Kluyveromyces lactis: one gene and its partner. The protein of the gene in region 1 interacts with the protein of each later gene in a biochemical or structural test. Links are inferred from orthologs where the notes say so. Each region holds a gene or a part of one and is shown on either strand. Other genes may lie near its edges.

Region 1 (3,650 bases):
AATCTTTGAAGGCAGTTGCCAGTGCATATCGTCAATTACAGGACATTGTCACGGAAAAAAACATTATAATAAGCTCATTGGAGGTAGAAAATCGTTCTTTGAAAAAGCAAGTGGAGACAAAGGCAAAGGATTTGGAGCTTTTGTCAGTGAAGCATGAAAGGGAAATTGCTAAATTAAAAGATCTCTCAAAGGCTGAAAGAGGCAGAATTTTAAAGGTTTGGGACAGAACAGACTACGAGAAGGCATTGGATTCAAAAGAAGAGGAAATCGTTAAGTTAAACCACCGTATCAGTCTATTGGATCTGATAATAGACAACAAGGTGACAGAAATAAAAAATAATGAGAGCAGATACAGGGGACTTGAGACAAAAGTTGCAATTTTAAGTAATGAAAACATAGTTTTAAAGTCAAAACATGACGAGGTTATCAAAAAGAAGAAGGAAGACCTTGCATTTTTCAATGAGAAGTTTCAAAAAAGGTTGTTAGCGATGAAACGTGAAATAGATAAAAATGCTGACATGTATCATAATGAACTACAAAGCTACAGGACTAATTACGAGAAAACTTTAAGTAGTGCCTTAAAAGTTACTCTTAAAGCAGAATCTGCGCTTAGTGCCATATACAGCAATAATGTGGATAGATTCGGGTCTACAAACCGGACTTTGAATTATTTTATGAAGAAAAGAGATATGTTCCAAAATATCAGAGACAATATGGTCTCCAACAAGCCCAAACCAGAATACAAACCTGCGATCACCATTACAAGTGTTAGTGATGGCATAGAAAATAAAGACAATAGAAACGAAGAGTTACACTACATATCAGAACAAAAACAAGGTTTTAATGATTCACTCCGTGAGCTTAAAGTAGCCAATGTGAATAGCAACTGTTCCTCAAGGTCGAAACACAACGCTAAACAAATTATACAAAAGCTCCGAGAGTGGAAGCAAAACCAAAACACATCAGAGCTATCGCCAGACAAAGAAGATTCCATATTTTCAACTGGAATTGAGACAGATTATTCAACTTCAAATATCGCACAGTTATCCACTAGGAACTGGGCTAGCGCTTTGAAGAACAACTATAACGCCAAGTACTTGGAATCTATCTGAATGAAAACAGCGTACTAAGTTAACAGAATTTAACCTAACATAATGAACATATTAGCAGCTAGTTTAGTCCATTAAATAAAAATGCAAACTCACTTCCTAGAAGGCTATAAAAACTACTCTCACTTGGCAATGCTATTTCCAATGTCTGTCATATATACTTAAACGTCAAGGTGAATATAATTCATTACCCGGAAATAATTGCTTTTTGAGATATCTGAAAATTTTCTACCTGAAGAAAAAAATTTGATGAAGACGATGAGATGAGATGAGCTTTAACAAGAAAAGTATAGAGTTCTATTAGAAGTAGATTCATCTTACTGGACTAAAAACTGTCACTTTAGTGTAGATTCTGCTTTACGATATTGTTGCTACTATCCTTTTATTGTTTTCTCTCGATATTTGAAGGAGATAGTGTACTGGATTGTTCGTTAGAAAGCTAATAAGTAAGATAGAGATCGATGTCTGACGAATTTGTTATTAAGCCAGAGAGTGTTTCACCATCTAGTAACACTAGTGAGTGGCCTTTATTGTTGAAGGACTATGACAAACTATTAGTCAGAAGTGGTCATTACACACCAATTCCAGCTGGTGCCTCTCCTTTGAAGAGAGATTTGAAGTCATATATCAGTTCTGGTGTCATCAATTTGGACAAACCTTCAAACCCATCTTCTCACGAAGTTGTTGCTTGGATCAAGCGTATCTTGCGTTGCGAAAAAACAGGTCATTCTGGTACTTTAGATCCTAAAGTCACTGGTTGTTTGATCGTCTGTGTTGACAGAGCTACCAGATTGGTCAAGTCTCAACAAGGTGCTGGTAAAGAGTATGTTTGTATCGTTAGATTGCACGATGCCCTTAAGGACGAGAAGGAATTGGGCAGAGGTTTAGAAAATTTGACTGGTGCTTTGTTCCAAAGACCTCCTTTAATTTCTGCTGTTAAGCGTCAATTACGTGTCCGTACCATTTATGACTCCAACTTGATCGAATTTGACAACAAGAGGAACTTGGGTGTTTTCTGGGCTTCCTGTGAAGCTGGTACTTATATGAGAACTTTATGTGTCCATCTTGGTATGCTTTTAGGTGTCGGTGGCCATATGCAAGAGTTGCGTCGTGTTAGATCCGGTGCTTTGTCCGAAAACGATAACTTGGTCACCCTACATGATGTTATGGATGCACAATGGGTATACGATAACACCAGGGATGAATCCTACCTAAGAAAGATCATTCAACCATTAGAAACTCTATTAGTCGGTTACAAAAGAATTGTTGTCAAAGATTCTGCTGTTAACGCTGTTTGTTACGGTGCCAAGTTGATGATTCCAGGTCTACTTCGTTATGAGGAAGGTATTGAATTATATGACGAAGTTGTATTAATCACCACCAAGGGTGAGGCCATTGCAGTTGCCATTGCTCAAATGTCTACTGTCGATTTAGCTACTTGTGACCACGGAGTTGTTGCCAAGGTTAAGAGATGTATCATGGAAAGAGACCTATATCCAAGAAGATGGGGTCTTGGTCCAATTGCCCAAAAGAAAAAACAAATGAAGGCTGACGGTAAGCTAGACAAATATGGCCGTGCCAACGAAAATACTCCAGAGACCTGGAAGAAGACTTACGTTTCATTGGAGAATGCTGAACCAACTACCGCCCCTGCATCCAAATCAGAAGAAAAACCACTGATCAAAGAAGTAGAAAAGAAGGAAGTCGAACAGAAGGAAGAATCAAAGGAAGAATCAAAGACACCAGAAGAAAAGAAGGACAAGAAGGAAAAGAAGGAGAAGAAGGACAAGAAGGAGAAAAAGGAAAAGAAGGAGAAGAAGGAGAAGAAGAGAAAGGCTGACGATGATGAGTCTTCCGAGAAGAAGAAGAAGAAGTCAAAGAAATAAACGACTACAATCTAAGTCCTTCATATCATCGATCGAAATTTCAAAACTGCATAGAGTTTATCATTTAGGTTATGTACACTGTAGAATATTTTTAATCATTGAAAAACGTATTTCGTCACGACTGTTTTTTGTACCCTGTGTCGATGTTGTATATCATTGTATTCGTATATATAAATTTGTAAATTATTTATGCGCGTGTGAAGACACCATTACGTCTTCAATTGAAGTAATGGCAAAAAGTAATGGTAAATGTATGAGGTAGATAGAAGATTTGATAATAATACTTGGAGTTTTTTTTTTTTTGGCAGACATCAATTGTTCGGAACCAAATAGAAGTCGGGAAACTTGCAGATTGGTATGTCTTTTATTTGCATGATGTCATTTGCTCAATAAAAAGGTAAATGAAGGTTAAAATCTATGCAAATGGTTACATTGTGAACAGAAGTCGAGGTGTCACAATGAAACGTCCCGTTTCTTACTTTACCAGTATTAACAATCATTGAATAATTCTCCTTGTATTCTCTCGCATATTATATTGCGTCCTCAACTTATGTTGCGTGCTTCATTTACCGAAGGATATTTTTTTGAAAATAGTGTACAGTGTGGTCAGAAAGTTAACGCATTAATCGACAGACAATGTAGCCATACGATAAGA
Region 2 (2,595 bases), on another chromosome or scaffold:
TACTCTCCACGTATCGAACAGAATCCAATTCTCCAAGTTTCCCGAACTTGTATTTCACTCTATTCTCAATCTGATGTGGTTTCAAAGTTTTGTTGTTGAGTGCCCCTGTAATACCACCCACGTATAAGACACGGTTAGGTTTCTTGAAGGAACCTACCCCACCCATATCATCTCTATAATCAGCAAATTTCTCTCTTCCAAAACAATCTAACGCAGAGGAATGCAAAGCTAACCTCGCAAAATCATCTGGCTCTGGAATATGATGCAAGTACCGACAATTTTTGCCTAAACAGCACATTCCCTTAGCGAAATACAAACAGAAATGAATCCGACCCTCTTTATCACCTTTAGTGATACCAGAATCGTTCTCGGGATCAAGCGAGTACGGTGTGACGAACCTAGTGGACCCACTTTGCCCCTGTGACCATTTGTTGTACCATACGTTGAAAGCCAAACCCGTCTGAGGCGGTACTGATGAAGGTAGGTCAGACTCCTGTAACTGAACCCTTGCTGGTCGGTTCTTCCAATCCCCAGTCATAATATATTGATGACGATGACCTTAATATTTGGCAATTTGCCAAACCAAGTATTCTTTAATGACCTCGAACAAGCAAACAGTTTGAACCGTCCAATTTATGCAACAACAGATACCGTATTATAACGGTGAAAACTGTATCTTGTCGAGCACACATCTTCCATGTTCATCTCATCGCAGGCCAAAGTGTTTTCAATAAACTTCAAGGTTGGAACTTTTCTTTAGTGAAAACGATCATGATCAAAAACAAAATGGAAACGAAAAAAAGATAAGTCTCCCGGGGGCGAGTCGAACGCCCGATCTCCAGATTACAAATTGCTTTGTGTTTTCAAATTACAGTCTGGCGCCTTAAACCAACTTGGCTACCGAGAGAAGTTACTTGTGTGTTGTAATTTTCAATGATGCTATAACCAAACTTCAAGGTTTACTAAGACTACATTGCCTGACATTAAGAGGTATATGGAGTATTTAAACCTTTTAAAGTATTTAATTATACAAGTGAAGTGATCACAGGACAATAATGCCCTGCACCTGGAACAGCTAATTTCTCCTACAGAGTTTAATCATTGTACATATTGTTCGCCATTTAAAACTCCAAGTTTTGTATGAAATTAAAGGGACTCATCCAGAATAATGTTAGGCGATGGACATTTCTACAACTGCTATGTACCACCTCCGAAACAAGACGCTGGCACGATATTCTGAAAAGTTGTTTATGTGTCGCATGGATTAATTTATGTCGTCCCTACTGTAATTGATACTTTATTTCTTTTTCATGTTACTCGGTACTGGAAAATTTTCATTTTTTGTTAACAAAAAGAAGAGCGATGAGTATGAGAATTGAACTGTTGAATGAATCGATGAACCTATCTTGCTGATGTGATATTGATTCCTTTCTCAATCAATTGCTCGCTCTATTTGAACCAGGGGAACAGTGAAGAACTATACATAATAACAAAGATGGCCAAGGATAAGAGTGTATCAACAGAAGACAACTACGAAGCTAGACTTCCTGCCGTTCTACCATTTGCAAAACCTCTAGCATCAAAGAAACTGAACAAAAAGGTGTTAAAGACCGTCAAGAAGGCTTCCAAGGCTAAGAATGTCAAAAGAGGTGTCAAAGAGGTTGTCAAGGCTTTGAGAAAGGGTGATAAAGGGTTAGTAGTCATTGCTGGTGATATTTTCCCACAAGATGTTATTTCTCACTTGCCAGTTTTGTGTGAAGACCAATCTGTTCCATATATCTTTGTGCCCTCGAAGCAAGATCTAGGTTCTGCTGGTGCCACCAAGAGACCTACTTCTGTTGTATTCATCGTTCCAGGCTCTAACAAGAAGAAAGATGCTAAGGCTAAGGAAGAAGAATACCGTGCTGCATTCGATGAAATTGTTAAGGAAGTAAGCTCTTTGTAGAGATATGAAAACTGTCGACAGAACAACCGGAAAAGAGAAAGTTATAATCGCAAAACACCGAGTGTTTCGTTAATTGCTTCCTGGTGTTGGCTTGTTTAATTAACCCCAACTACTTCCACTTCACAACTACTATTTTTGAACTCTTCTTGCAATGCATATACTGAGACTGCAAGACTAATTTCCAATTGGCATATACCAGTTGATTCGAGCATCTACTTACACCCACCTATCTGTAAAATAAATATTAATATCTATGTACCGAAGTCATCAAATCATATAGATTACTATCGTTAAAAGCACTCTGCAATTTGTGTATTCTGTCTCGATTTGTATACCAGCGTTTTTTCTAACAGTAACAGAAACCAAATAAAAGAAAACATCATATTAAGTAACATTCGTGAAGTACTAACGGAATATGTTGCCCAAGATTAAGATAACCTTCCATCCCATTAATTAAGATCCTATATAAGGGATACAAGCACTCTATAATGTATGGAAAGAAAAGGCAGAGACCGGCCTCTGCAGACTTTCGCCATTCTCCAAATAAGAAACAACAAACAACGTTAGTGCCTAATAAATCCAAAACCGATGACTTATGGAAGGTTCTATCCAATGTAACAGAGGACCAAAGTGTCGCTCAATTACCTATA

What was found.
Region 2: the proteins of CBF5 (region 1) and NHP2 form a complex in vitro, tested with the Saccharomyces cerevisiae proteins (2 studies listed by BioGRID). The link is inferred for Kluyveromyces lactis from reciprocal best matches to the Saccharomyces cerevisiae genes CBF5 and NHP2.

Annotation. Positions count from the first base shown.
Region 1 is NC_006040.1:407,735-411,384, forward strand, and holds CBF5 (pseudouridine synthase CBF5), read left to right. Parts: upstream 1-1,570; coding exon 1,571-2,995; downstream 2,996-3,650. Other genes in the region: KLLA0_D04774g (uncharacterized protein), read left to right, coding at 1-1,112. UniProt on the Saccharomyces cerevisiae protein: Catalytic subunit of H/ACA small nucleolar ribonucleoprotein (H/ACA snoRNP) complex, which catalyzes pseudouridylation of rRNA. This involves the isomerization of uridine such that the ribose is subsequently attached to C5, instead of the normal N1.
Region 2 is NC_006039.1:1,335,927-1,338,521, reverse strand, and holds NHP2 (snoRNA-binding protein NHP2), read left to right. Parts: upstream 1-1,495; coding exon 1,496-1,945; downstream 1,946-2,595. Other genes in the region: active spliceosome conformation promoter CWC2, read right to left, coding at 1-538; SNU56 (Snu56p), read left to right, coding at 2,434-2,595. UniProt on the Saccharomyces cerevisiae protein: Non-catalytic component of the H/ACA small nucleolar ribonucleoprotein (H/ACA snoRNP), which catalyzes pseudouridylation of rRNA and is required for ribosome biogenesis.